2 linked regions of the Arabidopsis thaliana genome follow. The protein of the gene in region 1 interacts with the protein of each later gene in a pairwise test. Each region holds a gene or a part of one and is shown on either strand. Other genes may lie near its edges.

Region 1 (8,054 bases):
AAAAAAAATTATAAAGACAAAGTAAACTTAACTCTCAAATATAAAAGTCCGACCAAATTGATGGAGAAAGCCGGCCAAAGTCTTCAAATTTCGACGGCATCACGATCAACTCATGATTCTCCAAGATACGAAGCCCATATGAAATGTGTCTAAGTTATAATAAAATTTCAGACTCTTTTGGACGGCCTAGTGTACTTTAGACATTGGCCCAATCAGTACGGAACAAAAACTTGAAGACAACAAACTTCAAATCAAACTTATATATAATTTGTTGAAACATTACCATGAACTGGTAGCGAGAGAAGATTGGGCCTATGTCTAAACTTATAATTTGTTGAAACTTCAAACTACTACGCCGACTAGTCACTATCTAATAGAAACATTACCATGAACTGGTATAGCGAGAAAAGAGCAAGATCACATGAGCAAATTTTTTGGAAATTGTCCGAGAATCAACCTTGTGTTCCAAACGATATTTAATAGAATACATTCAAAGTTATTTGTGCAATGAGAAATAGCTTATGTTGTGTACTCTTTATTTCCTATGCCATTGTTAAATTACTTAACGTGAGACCTCAGCTTATTTAATCAACTTTGTTTTAGTGTTAAGTGGTTGACATCGGACGTTAGTGTTCTATGTTTCATATTTGGAATTACTTTTGAGTATTTTTAGAGATTTTAATCTAATATCAACCATTCCAAGCAAATTTGATTTTTCGTGTGTTGACAAATAAAGAACCCACTAACTACTTGATAAGTTTTGATAACTTTATTTATATCTCTTTTACTTTTAATTTTTCCGCAGTTACAATTAAATTATAATAGACTAAACGATGCTATATGCTCACGACGACTTAAACAACTAAACAAGTACCAAATAATCTCTTTTACATATAAGCAGATTTTATTCTTTTACATACAATAGTTAGTCATGCATAACGTGCTTGCATTAGTAACTCTTGTACTCTGCTTAATATTTTTTGTGACCTATCGCGTGATTCGTATCTATTTCGAATCCCTTTTTCTATATTGTACGAGAAAACATTAACTTGAAGAAATTAAAGTACTCTTTAGACATCTTTAGAGTATGTTTTTATCCCGTCATAAGTTTTAGATTTTACGGTATGTTTTTATACATAATTAACAGAAGAATTATAGAATAATAATATTTGATTCTAGGAAATCGCATCAAATATATTGACATGCGTAGTGTATCTCTCGTCATATTTGTCTGTTGACCGGCAGACTTTTAGATTTCTATTTCTCTTTATTGCTTTCGTGAGGTTGAATCTCAAGCCCATTACGCTCCACAATTCCATGTTTTTATAACCTAAAGAATGCAAAAGACATATATACAAGTTCCATGTTTTTGTGGGTAACTATATTATCTATTTATCTTTATCCTGAAGCTGATGATGAATCGATTAATAACACATATCCAAGTTTAAAGTCTAGCAACAACACAATTAACATGTCACGTCGTATAATTCAAATAGATTTCCCTTACATGTGAATGATTTTAGTTTTGTACATTGCAATGATTTAAGCAAAAGAAAATCGTTGTTGTTTGAAATTTATAAAGATTTCAAATCAATATAATAACAAAAAATGTAATCTTTATGCCTTTTTCGACCCACGTGGGTTGATACCATAAAGGATAACCAAACCGGCCTTCTATATCATAAAGTAAGCCTCAAGGGACATCTTTAGAGGCAAATGTTGAATATAAAAGATTTTATTCACCTAACTAACAAATACCTTATTAACTAACACAAAAATCCACACGCTTTGCTATGACATGACACGAATTATAGAGGTTTAGAAAGTGTATGCAAAGTTGTGAAAATTACGTTTTTTTCCTTTAACAACGAATTAACAGAAAAATATTCACAACCATTATAAAAATAGTATTTAAGCACAATTAGGTATGTTCGATCTGATTTTATTTGTTTTTGGTTCAGTTTTTTTCAGTTTATAAAATTAAGAAACTGAATATCAAATGTATAGATTTGTCATCAAACATAGGTATTAATGTTTTATATCATGAATTGAAACTTTTATAGAAACCTCCCATGTTTAGAAAAAAAAAGAAAAAAATTCAAATGAAGTACATCACATATTGAGAAATTGTACAGACCACCACAGAGAAAGAGAGTTTGGTAGTCATCATTATTTTTAGACAATTAGATTATATTGTTGAAATTAGAGTTGTTCTTGACAATAATTATGTAATAGACTAAAAACCAATAATAAAGATATTTGACTCCTATATTTAAACAAAACCATGTTAAAAATGGACAAGGATGGGAAGTCCTATAATGGTTATCAAATTCGGAGAAAGAAGATAATCTTCCAGAACCATGCACTGGAAAATTAGTTGATGTTTTGTAACTTTTATTCCTTATTTTTGGAGAATTGCACGACATAATCTAAAAACTAGTATAATCAAGGTAATAAATCATCGAGCTTTCAGTTATGAAAAAGATGAACTACTATAAAACAGAATTTTTAAAACTGATCCACAAAGTTTCACAAAATATATTTTTGTTGACTAGAAAAATTTAGGGTTTTTAAGTCCCTAATCTCCTCAAATTCGGGAATAACCGTTAGTAATACTTTTTGAAGGTATAAATCTTCATCCCCAAAGATTTGGACTAGGGTGAAAGTTCAATTTTCATCACAGAAAGATCGGGTCATTTTGCCACTAATCTACCACACATTTGATAACTAAAGAAGTAAAAAAGAATTTACACCCTAATTCCCTTTATTTCTTTAGCTTTATAACATATGATAATTTTGTTTAATAATAATTTATCAATATGTGTACCAAACCTCATTTTCTATAAATATAAGCCAGCACATCTCTCTTCTTCTTACAAGCAAAAAAGAAAGAAATTAAAGAGAGAGAGAAAGATAATGGGAAAGTTAATGGCAAAGAGGTTTTGCATTGGGTTTGGGTGTGGAAGAATTGGGACGGGCAACAATAAAAGATCATCATCTTCTTCTTCTTCTTCATCGTCATTTTCATCATTATCATCATCATCTTCTTCTTCATCGTCATCATGTAACAATAACAACATAAAATGGGAGATGAGGCCTGGAGGGATGCTGGTTCAGAAGAGATCAGAAGATTCTAACACTGAAGATTTAATCAGCCTTAGAGTCTCCACTGTCTCTCAGCTTTCATATGAAATCTCCATTGATGCCAACTCTACTTTCGGTAATTACGTATCCTCTTTTAACATGAAAACCAAAACAAATTTACGTCTCTTCTTCATATATATATTATATAGTTGACAAAGATTTTGTTGTATAATAGGTGTATAAGAATATGATTGTTTTGTTGTTTACAAAAATAAAAGTATACATATATATAACTTAAAAAAAAATTTGTTTGTTGAAAACAGCTTTCAAAAAATCGTATACTTACTCAGTATTGTTTTGGTAAAGCTGGCTTTAAAAATTTTGATATATAAATCGTCCTTATAGATACTATCACCGGTCAAAGAGTGCCAATATATAATACTATTGATTAACTCATCAAGATTTATGCATGCAAGTATGCAACTATAAAGGGTGATCTATATATACTGTGGCAATTAAATATAACGCGTTTGATATTTATTCGAGTAACTGGTTGGTTAATTACAGGACAACTAACTATATTTACATTTAAAATATGGTTAGAGCATCTTTTGATACAAAATGATCTCTTATTATATAATTTCTCATTTGATATATATTTTTCAGGTGAATTGAAGATGATGATAGCAATAGTGAGTGGAATTGAGGCAAAAGAGCAAAGACTCTTGTTCAGAGGAAAGGAAAGAGAAGACAGAGAATACTTACACATGATTGGTGTTGGAGATGGAGATAAGGTCTTTTTATTACAAGATCCTGCTTTTAAGGAGTTGAAACATATTCATCTCCCAATTACTGTCTAACTAATTCCTTACTTTATTAATTGATTAATCAATCGATTAATTAGCTCTAATCCCCACTTATTAAACACTCTCTTTTATAAGTGCTATAAGTTCTTGATTTTGCAGGAGTAGTATATGCTTGTTATTTCGCTGTATCGTCTCCCATTTGATAATCTTTGAGTTGAGTGATTGATTGTATTTTGCTAAATTGCTAGTCCTATTGATTAAAGTTGGAAGATTGAATTTTCTGAGTGTAACATTGTATGCTATGATTTTAATGTCAATAGAGTTATGCGTGGTATGTAATACTAAGTCTTAACAAAAAATGTTTTTACTGATTTATAATTATCAATATGAATAAACATGTATTAGGAGATTATCTACGGATCCGATTTGAATCAACGGGTCTAAGAACAAGCCTGTATGAAATGTTTTGTTATTGCTATAATAAATTAAGGTTTAAAAAGTAGTTACAAAATAACGAATGGTTAGCTATGAAAATAACTAAATAAGTAACTAAATTTAGAGTTCGAAGTTTACATCTCTACCAAATAAATTTCATCCGCTATTGATAGATTATTATGTATGCTAACAGCTGTTTGCATGATTTGTCAAATGTTAAAAAATTAAAATTATATTGTAAAAAAGGATACAATAGATTAGAAAAAAAAACACAAGCCATGTGTTAAATTAGTTTTAGGTATAACTAGTTGTAGATTAGACTAGAAGTATGGTTAATTAGCTTTTAGAACTAATTAATAACTTTGTATGTGTTACAATCATTTGCCTTCTTTTTCATTATATTATGGTGAAAAGTTAACGTTAATATATATTATATCGCACGCGTGCAAGCCGACAACACAAAAGCAAGTGGTTTAAAAGCAATGGTGAAGTACAAAAAAGACAATAATAAATATAATTTAAATGCTCTTTATTTGTTAAGAGAAATAAAAAAGAACTAATTGAAAAGTTGGAGGGTAAAAGAATTTATTGGGAAAAAGGCTTATAGAATTTTCTTAAGAGTGTGATCGACTACATAATAAGTTCGTTATAACTTATAACACCTAGTTTGGTAGTTCAACTCACATTGTAAACGATTTTTTTTAGTTTTTATGAACAAATACTAAACTATTTGTGGTCCAAATGGTGATCTTAAAATGGATGACGAGTGTGTACTACTAAGCAAATCAAAAACTATATATATGAGTTTAAAATAAATAAAAATAATGAGTTGTAATAAGCAAATCAAAACAAATAATGTGTTTAGAGTAAAATAAACAGAATAAACTATGTGAAACGAGCATAGCAAAATATGATCATAATAATTTTTATTTTATTTTTTTCAAAGTAATCATAATAATTGCTGTATGATCTAATAATGATCAAATTCTAAAGTATTTTTTTTTATAGCATTTCATAATATCAAAATGATATGATTCAGATTACTCTATTTAATTAAGTTCACAATATAGTTGACAGTATTGAAAAAGATTTCTGCAAGTGTAAATCGATTTTGATTTTAGGCCACTGAAAGGACAGATTTCCATTTATCTAACAAATGGTAAGTTTTTGATTTTGAACTAACCAACTCGATATGAAAAAAAAAACAGTTCTACCGTGCTGCAAGCCGTATCATACATATGTAGTTATTCCAAAACGTTTATTGGATCTTAGATTGATGCCACAAAAAAAATCCATTAAATTTACGTTGCATGTGTACAATTAATTAATGGATTATGAGCCAAAACAACATCGTTTTATTAACCCTCAAAATAAAAACAATCCAGCAGCAACGACAAAGACGACGAAAGAGGAAGAATAAGAAGAAGAAGCTGAGTCCTTAGGCTGATTTGCTTTCTTATCTGATTTACCTTCAGGTTGTGCAAACTCATCAGCTTCTTTATCTTCTTCTTCGACAAGTGGCAAGTCATCTTGCACGACTTTGACTCCATCAGGTGCTAGATTCATAGGGACTTCGTAATCAGAGTAATCTGCAGGAACGACCGTTGCGTTAACCGTGGAGATGAAGGGGGTCTCCGGAAAAAAAAAGTTTGTGCTATTTGACGGTGGAGAAGGTGCAGATGAATTGGCGGCATAAGCTCCACCGGCTAGAGCAAGACCTATGAAAAGAATTACGAAAGAGAAATGTTGTCGAGACATATAAATTTTTATGTATAGATTGATCCTTTTTCGATTCAATATCGGCTTTTAACGCGAAATGGTATAAATGTAGAGAAATCAATGAAGAAAATTGAAGAGTATGAATAAAAAGGAAAAAGGGAGATAAATAGGGGATTTAAAGCTATTAATTATGAGATGGATATGTTTGGTAATTTAAAACAGGTGTTAATTTAGACTCTAAACTTTAGAGTTTATGTGTGTTTTCCGTTGTGAATTAGCCAAAATTGAATCATACAGGCTGTGTTTTTCCACAGTTTTTAGAATATGGTTTCATATTTTTTTTAGCGTTTGTGGTTGCTTTTCGTTAAAGTGATAACTTTGAACTGTGCATGGGTTGTTATTAATTAGAGCAATACGTCAAACGGATTTGATAACACTATATATATATAAAAAAATCTAAAGATTGAAACTGATGGATCATAACACAAATATAATAATCTAATTAATTATAAGATAAAAGTTTCAATTGATAACAGTACATAATCGGTTTTGTTTCTAGTTTTGTGGTTTCTGTATATATCCATGGAGAGATTATGAACTTGTAAGGTATGTAATGAATATATTTTCATGTCTTGAATTTACCAAACCATACATTATATTATATAGTTTAGAAGACGAAAACTATGTCGTGAATTCGTGATACGTGGACTTCGAGCCATTTAAAAAAATATGTCGTGTACTCACTCGCTTTTCGGATCAAACCAACGCAAATCGTACGCCACTAACTAACGATAAAAGCTCACATAGATTGCTATATGACGCACAAAACAAATAGTGATAAGTCAAATCTATATATACATTTTCGATGAAGTACGTAAACATAATTACACTATCTAATTAACCAAACACATACTCTAATTTTTTTTCCTACGGAGCTTGTTGCGCCTAATCTAATCCAAAAGTGGTTCATGTGAAAAGTTACAAGTAGACGAACAAGCTACCGCATGACTCGGTTACTCAGTATCCGAACTCGGTCAAAAATAGACATTTTATTTACACTTTTCACGGTTAAGATACATTCTAAAGCATACTTGGTCTAAAACTTTCTAAACATATCAAACTCCTCAAAACTTTTGTATATCATTTTTTTTCCCTTCCAACTTTTGTATATCATATGTAGGTGTTTTCTAACCTATACATTTTCCAAGCTCACTATGAATTGAATGTTAGAAAGACTTGGAAAGGCACTAGTGACTAGACTAGTATTCAGTGGCGGAGTGAGAACAAATTTTCTTTTTATTGTGATCAATATTACAATAAACAAAAATGACAATATCTTAGTGATTTTGATATGTTGAGTGATTTAGACTGTTTTTCTCTCATAACCGTCGTATTCCTACTTATACCCAAATTTAAGTTTTTTTTTTTGTTTTGTCATCCGCTTTTAATTAAATCCAAATTTAAGTTTGGTAAAACAAACTTATAGAAAAAATGTTAAGTGTTCTCGAAATTTGAATCCCATGTATGCAAACAATTCATGTAATTATCATTTGGAACTAAGAATTTTACGTTACAATAACATATGGAAAATTCAATAGAAAAACAAATATTATGTAATTATGCATCTCGTTTTTTTTTGTTTTTTTTTTTACCCATCATACATCTCGATTTATGAAGTTTACGTTACACTAATTTATAGAAACCTCAATATAAAAATAAATACGCTAACACAATTATCAATCTAGAAATATAATTGTTTTTGGTCGGAATTTAGGAACATAATTAATTCATATTTGTTTTTAACAAAAATAAAATAAAAACTAATGATTTTTTAAAGATAATAATAACAGAAGTAAAAAAAAAAAGAAAAAAAAAGGAGAGGATTAGGAAGAGAGGAGGAAACATAGAGCAAATCGCCAAGATCCAACCATCGAAACATGGCGGCTTATAGAGAATTGAAGACACTGCTACTGTTACTTCCACGTAAACGTTTCTCTCTCTCTCTCAACG
Region 2 (9,569 bases), on another chromosome or scaffold:
TGATGGGACCATTATGTTTGGAATAAAAGTTTGTATGGTTATTAAGAATGACTAAAATTAAGTAAAAAGAAGAATAGCTTATTTATATGTATGTGGGGGATGAATTTAATTAGAAAAGCTTGAAAAACATGTTTAAGACAAAAGGGAAGATTGAGGACTGAGGAGTATGTCCTAATCATACTCAAACTCAAAGCTGTTAGTGACCATTGGTTTACAAGTTAAGTTATTGACTTATTTGAGCATTTTGGAGACTTTGATCATAATTTGATCATATAATGATATAGAAATTATTTGGTCCGTAAGGCAATTATTGGGCTATGAAGTTGTGCCTTGCTAGGTAAATCTACTTGCAACTATCTGCAATTTTATTGGGTTCTATACGGGAAAGAAAATTAAAAGGCAAGGAAAAGCCTTAATTAGATAGGAAATCATAACTCCCATATGATGAAAACGAGAATATCATAACTACATATGATAAAAAAAAAAGGATTATATAATCAAAATTGAAAGTGAAGAATGGAGGTTAACATATATTTAACCAAATTTGTAAATATGATTATGTTCTTTAATGTTAAGGCATATTGTTAAACATCTAACTATATAATAAGATATCTTGATGTATTGTTTCCGATGTAAATTTTGTTTTTCCGGACTGTTACCAATCATAGAGTTTGTTTTAAAATGGATGTGTGGTTGGCAAAAACAAGTTTATATATGTTTGTGTTTAATGATTAAATATAGTATGTCCTCAAAATTTTCTTAAGATATAATATTTAATTTATGAAGTAATCTTTAAGGAAAACGCAGAAGAAGTAAAGAGTTATATAAAATAAATAAACAAACTAAAATATTGTGTTTTAGTAAGACATATACATAATACTTGATCATCGAATTAAATATGAACACAAATAAATGTTAATTCCGAACCTGATTCCGAAACGTAGCAAAGTATATTGTATATATTACATTAGTGTAGAAAAGATATCATAAGTACGTACTATATATAACATGGTTATTTCAAAATAGGATAGATAGATATACGTAAATGATATACCATGTAAAGCTCTCAAGTAAGAATCGTTAAGATTAATTTGCGTGTGTTGTGCGAAAGAACTTCCGTATTTGTAGATTAGTGGGTAATTAAAGAAAAAAAATGAAACACAATGTAGTATAGGTAAAACTACAACATGAGATTTCTATATATTCAAGTTTGGTCGCAGATGATAAATTGATAACTGTGGTTTAGTGAAACAAAAAGAGTTTAGGGTTTGTATATAATAGAAACTAAAACCCATATATCCAACAAAGACATTGACCAAAGATCAATGAAATCGCTGTTTATTCTCCTTAATTTTCAAAAAGAGATATGGAGAGGCAGATGAAGGATACATATCACTTAAGGCATTAAAGAGAAATAGTACCTTGGAGATGAAACTCTGGAAGAAGGAAGATGAATACTGGTGATAGTCGTCTTCCCCAAAAAAAAAGCTCTTTACATTCTCATTAATGATGAGGATGATGCTCGCTGATTACACATGCAGCTCTTATATGATGATATTATATTCATATGTGACTATGTGAGTTCTTTATATCTCTGCAGGAATGAAAATGAATAGGTTTCTTATATGGAATTTCTTATAAAAAATAATAATATAAGCTTAATGGTACGAGAGATGTCTTGGAAGGGTTAAAAACTTGGGGAAACCGGAAGAAAAATATTGTTTAATAATTAAAGTATAAGGAAAACGAAAGAAACAAAAAAAAAATCATGTATATGTAAGTCATATGTAGACGTCTATTTCATAAATGGAGATCTATTTCATAAATGGAGTACGAATGAAACAATAGTTTAATACGGACAAAATCAGGTGTACCCTTTTTGTATGCAAACTATAACTAAAGATCGAATAAAACCGAAAGGATAATGACATGTGTTATAAATTATCCAAATTAGAAAATTGGATTAGATGATGGGTCATGTTCCTAGAGGAAGAGTATTTTTCCGTATACCTCTCAATTGAAGTAAACATTTCCAGAGTTATTTATGCCAATATCAATGATTTAGTATGTCATAGACTCATAGTAAATGTTTATTTATATATTTGCCATTTTTTTTATTTTATGGTTTAACGAATAAATTTTTTGATCCGTTGTTAATTAAGTCATCAAGAAGTTTTTTTTTAGAATATATTCGGACATGATAATGAATTAATCCAGGAATTTTGTAAGTAATATTAGCTAAAAAATTTCAGTACTTCACAATAATGTATTACTAACAATCACCTCGTGTATGAACTATTTGTATTTGACTATAGAAAGGCTATTATGTAATTCTCAGTCTGAGCGGGTCGGGATAATATTGCAACGTAACTAACATGTTTAGACAAGCCATCATAAAATTTCAATGTATGAAGATAATTCGTAATTGCTGTACTAATTAAATTTATGTAATTTTGTGTGGATTGACAAAATTCGTCTGTTTGGTTTTTGTACGTTTGTTGCCATTTAGTAGATGATATGTCATTGGGTAAATTAGCACACGAAAATCATTTAATATATATAATAAACAGTCATTATAACATGTATACGTAAATTATATTACGAATTGTGATAAGTCTAGCCACGGGGTTTACGACCAAAAGCAATACATAAATAATAATCAGGGAGATCCATGAACTTATATATACAAAGAGTGAGGACACGAGAAGCAATATGTGTCAATGTGTGGAAGAATGTCTCCATCATTAACCTAATTATATTATATTTTTATGTTTTATAATTTTTATGGTCTTCTCCGCTTGGTAGTTTTAGCCTTACAGCCATTAACTATCGTAAATTAGGGTACTAATACTTGTTATTTTTTTTGGTAAAAGGTGAAATTTTATACTATTTTTAGTTTGTGATAGAATTACAGAGAAAACTAGAAACAGATTAAAGCAATCTACGTAAATATAAAAACAACATTACAACTCAAGATGCAAAGGATCACTACTAAGTGGTCAAAGCCAAATTGCAAAAAGAAACACCGATTCCGAACCCGCGAAGCTCAGAAAATTGTGTGGTTGCCACAAAACCGAAGAACTGGAATCATCATCTTAATTGCCACGAGCAAAACTATCCAAGATCCGTCCACAAAACTTCAAGATAGAAGTCTACAACTTCTCTGAGAACTAACGCAAAAACGTAAAAGCAATCGTGGACTTCTATACTAACTCAACAAGATAGCAATGCCACTTAGACTTATTCGCCGCCTCTATTCAACATTCTGACAACCTAGCCAATGCTCGTTATTTGCTTATTATTAGTTCTTACGTACGTGTTTTATATTCGTTTTGAAAAACAAATAATTGTCGTTAATAATCAGCTAATAAATAGTATAAATTTATGACTTGCAAGTACAAGCTTGTTATATATATTACTTGCTTATATATAACTTATTTTTATTTGAATGTTTTGTGCTTAGGATGCTTGAAACTTTGAATGTTTTGTAATTTCTATTGTATATGAGATTTTTTTTCGATTCAAGTTGCAATTATTTTACAAGTAACAAGCAATATCAAATTATTTAGCAAGTAATAAGCCAAATCAAGTTATTTAGCAAATAATCATATTTTATATGTTATAACAAGTCCAAAATTCATTTACTTGAAAGGGGCAAAACGGGTCAGAAGGCCATGCCTAGGTATTTTTGTGCTCGGTGATTGATAGTATAGTCGTGTAGATAATTTATTTAAAAACAATAGTATACATAATTTGTTATAATATTATATATATATATATATATATATATATTTATTTTTATATAGAGTATACTATAAATAAGATTAATTATAAAATTAAATAGTATAATATTTACATGTGCATAACATAAGTTATTACCTAGTATAATTTAAATATTCATACATGTATAAAATTAAAATTTTCCAAAAATATGTGATAACTTGACATGTAAATAACATCATATAAATGTTTTTAATAATTAATATAGCATATATGAATTAATGCTTAACAAAATCATTGGGCTGGGCCTAAAGAAGTGCACTACGAGGAGTCCGGTTCAAAAGACACGACTTGACCCGACCGATCCGACCCGGGTAAGAGGTTAGCCCACCACGCAACGTCCGTCGGGGAAGATACCACGCGACGGAAACGACGAACACGAACAGCGGAAATCGTCAATTCAATCTCTCAGATCAGTTTTGGAATCACATATAACAATGTCGGCGGTTCTCACAGCCGGCGGAGGCTTAACTGCCGGGGATCGCAGCATTATTACGGCGATTAACACCGGCGCTTCGAGTCTCTCATTCGTCGGCTCAGCCTTCATCGTTCTCTGCTACTGCCTCTTCAAAGAACTTCGAAAATTCTCTTTCAAGCTCGTCTTCTACCTTGCTCTCTCTGTAAGTTTCCCGTTGTTGCCTTTCGCTGATTGTGCTAGATCTAGGATTATGTACTGTTTTGCTTCCTTCTTCTTCGATTATTCTCACTGTGAATTGTTACATCGCTAAGACGTTAAGTTCCATTGCGTTCTGAGATGAGTAGTGAGGGTTCGAGCTCTATTGCTGACTAATGGCAATGTTTTTAATTGTTGCAGGATATGCTTTGCAGTTTCTTCCTAATCGTTGGGTATGTTTATCTACTACTATTGGTTCTGGTGAATCTTGTTGAGATTATTTTGATAAGATGATTGTTACATCTTGATCACTGTAGGGATCCTTCAAAGGGGTTCATTTGTTACGCACAAGGCTACACTACTCATTTCTTCTGCGTTGCTTCGTTCTTGTGGACAACTACAATTGCTTTCACTCTTCATCGTACTGTTGTCAAGCATAAAACTGATGTGGAGGATTTGGAAGCAATGTTTCATTTGTATGTATGGGGTATGTAAAATGATACTCGTGGGTTTCGGTTCTCAATTGTTACTATATCCACCTAGGGTTAAGGATTAGAATGTGTTAGTATCTTCTTTGGTGATTTAGTAAGACTCTGATTTTAGTTACTTTTCTCAGGGACTTCCTTGGTTGTGACTGTCATACGTTCTTTTGGTAACAACCACTCACATTTGGGGCCATGGTGCTGGACGCAAACTGGTCTTAAGGGAAAGGCAAGTGAGAATGCTTAGTTGAGCATAAAGATTTCAATGCCTATCAAAAGGCATTTGAACTTTTTTGTTGCAACGCTGGGCCAGATGAATGTAGACTAGTATTTTATTCTTCGTTACTGGAACTCATATCACCTCTTGAATTTTGCAGGCTGTTCATTTTTTAACTTTCTACGCTCCTCTTTGGGGAGCCATTCTTTACAATGGGTTTACTTACTTCCAAGTGATACGGATGCTAAGAAATGCTAGACGTGTATGTAACTCTCTCATCTCTAATAACATTGTCTTCTGAAAGTAGTTCACAAACGTTACTGATACACTTGGCTGTGTGCTGAAATGGCAATGTTAATTTCAGATGGCAGTTGGAATGTCAGACCGAGTCGATCAATTTGATAATAGAGCAGAGTTAAAGGTCTGTCTTTATTGCCAATACTAGTTCTGTATCATGTGGCTGGATTTCATCATTAAAACCTCACTGCTTGTTTCCTGAAACCACAGGTGTTGAACAGATGGGGATACTATCCACTCATTCTAATAGGATCATGGGCATTCGGCACTATTAACCGTATCCATGATTTCATCGAGCCAGGGCATAAGATCTTCTGGCTCTCAGTTCTTGACGTTGGGACAGCTGCACTAATGGTAGCAAACCTATCAAATAAATAAGTTATAAAATTCGCCATAGATCATCTTTGCTCTTCCCGAGTCGATGTTCTGAATGTTGTATTTTCAGGGCTTGTTCAATTCAATAGCCTATGGTTTCAACAGCTCAGTGCGTCGAGCAATCCATGAGAGACTGGAGCTGTAAGTCACCACCGATCTCTTTGGTTTGCTATATTATTCCCAATAATCAATGAAGCTTGATTTTTATGAAACCCTTGGTCTGCTAGATTCTTGCCAGAACGGCTATATCGATGGCTTCCAAGCAATTTCAGACCAAAAAACCATCTGATTCTACATCAGCAACAACAACAGCGAAGCGAAATGGTATCACTCAAGACCGAGGACCAGCAATGACACTAACTTTCAACTAATACATTGGACCGATAACAAGAAGGCGGCGATGATAATAGCGTTTGGATGGAGAGATTGGTAAGTTTCCTCTATGATTGTTTTGTCTTTAATTTCCGTTTACATGGATCAGTAAGTGTGTTTTGTTTTGTGTTTCTCTCTTAGATATGGTGAAGGGGGGTGCACAACAGGTTGTCAATGTATATGAAACATTCTTTGGGAACACGAACTTAACAATTTATTTATTTTTGTATGAACTTTTTTATTGTGAGGTCTTCTGATCTTGATTTGAAATTAACGAACTTGGAGTTCTTGGACGACAATGTTGAAGAGTTTTGTTACGTAAGTCATATGAAAATACTATCACTTAAACCGGCGCCGTTTCTAAAGAGGAATTACAAAATTCGTATCAATCTTCAAAACCCTAGAGATCACCGCGATTTCTTTCTCCCCAAGACTGAACGACTCTGTCTTCAAACTCGGGTGGGGATTGAGATGGGTTTGTCTTTTCGTCTAACAGTGATCCAACAGTGGAGAAAGAAGAAAAGAAGACGAAGCCAAGCACTACTGGAGATTCCAACGGATGTGGTGACAGAGATTCTTACGAGATTCCCTGTTAAAACCCTAATGGATTCAAGTGCGTCTCAAAGCTCTGGTCATCTATCATACGCTCTCCATAGTCCATACTTTACCAGTCGTTTCATTAAGGTCCCATCTCAACGAATTTACATTTGTGTATCACATTTCGAGGACTACCGTCCCTCTAAAATCCTATCATTAGCTCCATCCGCTACTAGTCCATCTTCCTCCTTTGTTGTTGACCATCCGAGATAGGGGAGGCAAGATCTTACAAAAACTTAGTGGCTTCATCTGCTACACATTTTTGAAAAAACCGCGAATGTATAACCCTACCACCAGACAACTTGTGACCTTGCCCACCATAAAATTAAAAACCAAAACCTCGGCTCCAGAAAGGTCGAAGTGGTGTTACTATTTTGGACATTACCCTATTAACGAACAGTACAAAGTTACTCTGCTCAGTTGTCGTCGGATATTTTATTTTATCATCAGACCATTGGGTCTTTGACCTAAAACCTGGAGGTTCGTGGAAAAAGGTGACTTTGCCTCCCGTGGACTTTTATCCTCACCTTCCTCTTAGACAAGGACTATCATTGAATGGGGTTATACATTACCTGGCTTGGATTGATTCGTCTAATTATATGGTTGTGAGCTTCGACATCGGATATGAAGAATTCAAAATGATCGAGTACCTCACAGGGAAGAAGATGTGAGCCTGCATAGAGCCATCAAGAAGGTGTGTCTTATAGAATATGGCGGAAAAGTAACTGTTTTTTACCATACCGATCTTGAAGACAAGAGTACAGTGAATTTATGGGTTCTAGAAGATGTCAGGACAAAGGAGTGGTTGGCGAAAACTCTGGTTTTGCAACCTTGTCCGCTGCATTTGGTCAAGAACGTTAGATTGGATTGGAGTTAAAAGGTATAACTCAAAGTGGCAAGGTTATAATGACACCAGATTATTTGTTTGATATGTTGTACATTCTTTGTTGTGATCTGCAAAGTAATGATATTAGAGAGATTAAAATCAAAGGTATACATTACCATTATGTTCCTAAGAAGGGTGAATTTGTGCCTACTCAATTTAGTTTGATGTTTATGGATCAGAGATCAGAGTGAGAGCGTCATGTACTTAAAGACTTGAATATTGTAGCTCTAATGCATGCAATTGAGACCATAAAAGAAGCTGCATCTGTGGTTTGTGCAATACAGTAACCTTTCAAAAATGAATATGGGTCCATAACAAGAAGACGGCGTATGATACATAGCATTTGGATGGAGATTGGTAGGTTATTTTTGTTATGCCTTTAAATTCCTTATGTTAATGACTACCAGTCTACCACTATGTTGTCTTCTTCTTCTCTTGTGATGTAGCACAACCATTCGTCAATGTACAAAAATAACATTCTTTGGACACGAGAGATCAAAGGAACTACTGCATGATTACACTTTATAGATTCAAATGATGCAATCTCAAACAAAGTACAACAAATACATTTTTATACAAAAACAGGTGACAAACTTTTTCTAGTACTATTAGTACTGAACAAATATGTACTTCAAGAAAAAGGTGAAATCTGATGCCTTTAAAACATTACTACATAGACTACTTCACACAAATATAATCAACTCTAGTTGACCTGTATACAAACCTCCTCCTAATCATTTTTCTTGGTTATGTCTTTTTTTTTACTTTTTGTTATTTGTTTCAAGTGAACTTTATCCTTTTAAAAACTTTCTCGCATCTGAAAAATAACAATTGAACAAAACAAAAACACATCATGCGAAATCTAATTAAATCAAATCGATCAGTGAATAATAGTAAATTGATAAACAACAGATAAAAACAATCGGATCATATCCATCTCCTTACACAATTTCAATGCTTTTCCCTCTTTTTACAAATGCATTGATTAATGCAGTGAAAGTGACTAAACCAGGGTTGATTACTGTTTCCGCTTCATCATATGAAGAACAAAAAAAATCGGAACCCCGATGTAGTCACTTTCAATGCATTGATCGACGCAATAAACTGGTCAAAAACCGAGATCAAGCAAAAGAGAAGTACTGATCAAAGCTTCGGCAGAAACAATGGAATTTTCATAGAAGAGAAGGATGAGTTAGAGATAAGTGAGAGAAGGTTGTATATAAATATGAAGGAAGAAGAGAAAGAGAAAAGCGGCGGAGTTAGGTCGAAGAAAACAAAGAAACCCTAATTCAGTAATGGGCCAAGATGTGGATACATGCGGCCCAAATAAAGTTTACAATTTATAACACGAAGCTAATTAATTGGTGTACTACCAAGTAAACGGAAAAAAGTTGCAACTACAACAAGGCTCGTCCTCGTAAGCATGACGAGTGTGAGAATCCCGATGTAATTCTTAGGCCTGGGGCATAATACCCGAACTCGAAGAACCGAACCGAACTCGACCCAAAATACTTGAATCCGTTTTATTTCGGTTCCGGCTAATTATCCGATCGGGTTTTGTTTTCAAATAACTGTGGGTATCGGGTATTACCCGAACCGAATCTGATACTCGTGGGTACTTTTTATTACCCGAACATATATATACATATGAGGACATATATGCACTAATAACTTGAATCTGTGACTTGTTTAATGATTTGAGTTCTGGAACAAGTTCAAAACAAGGTTTACTTCTTGTTTTATATTATTGTCTTAAGAAAAAAAACTTGTTATAATTGTGGATTTTTCGGGTTTTATGGGTACTTTTATGTATGTTTGGGTATATTTGGACAAAGTTTGGGTAAGTAGTACTCAAACCCGAGATAGTTTTGGTTATTTATAGGTAATACCAAAATTACCCGGACCCAAAGTAAACCCAAACCGAACCCGACCCAAAATTGTTAATATAAC

The links.
Region 2: the proteins of AT5G40620 (region 1) and GCR1 interact in a protein complementation assay, tested with the Arabidopsis thaliana proteins (one large-scale study listed by BioGRID).

The regions. Positions count from the first base shown.
Region 1 is NC_003076.8:16,267,292-16,275,345, reverse strand, and holds AT5G40620 (uncharacterized protein), read right to left. Parts: upstream 6,190-8,054; 5' UTR 6,084-6,189; coding exon 5,691-6,083; 3' UTR 5,513-5,690; downstream 1-5,512. Other genes in the region: AT5G40630 (Ubiquitin-like superfamily protein), read left to right, coding at 2,917-3,220, 3,751-3,944.
Region 2 is NC_003070.9:17,824,863-17,834,431, reverse strand, and holds GCR1 (G-protein-coupled receptor 1), read left to right. Parts: upstream 1-4,011; 5' UTR 4,012-4,217; coding exon 4,218-4,400; intron 4,401-4,594; coding exon 4,595-4,626; intron 4,627-4,710; coding exon 4,711-4,880; intron 4,881-5,009; coding exon 5,010-5,104; intron 5,105-5,252; coding exon 5,253-5,354; intron 5,355-5,456; coding exon 5,457-5,513; intron 5,514-5,599; coding exon 5,600-5,743; intron 5,744-5,834; coding exon 5,835-5,905; intron 5,906-5,991; coding exon 5,992-6,118; 3' UTR 6,119-6,193; exon of another isoform or gene 6,194-6,277; 3' UTR 6,278-6,479; downstream 6,480-9,569. UniProt on the Arabidopsis thaliana protein: Together with GPA1, may regulate the cell cycle via a signaling cascade that uses phosphatidylinositol-specific phospholipase C (PI-PLC) as an effector and inositol 1,4,5-trisphosphate(IP(3)) as a second messenger.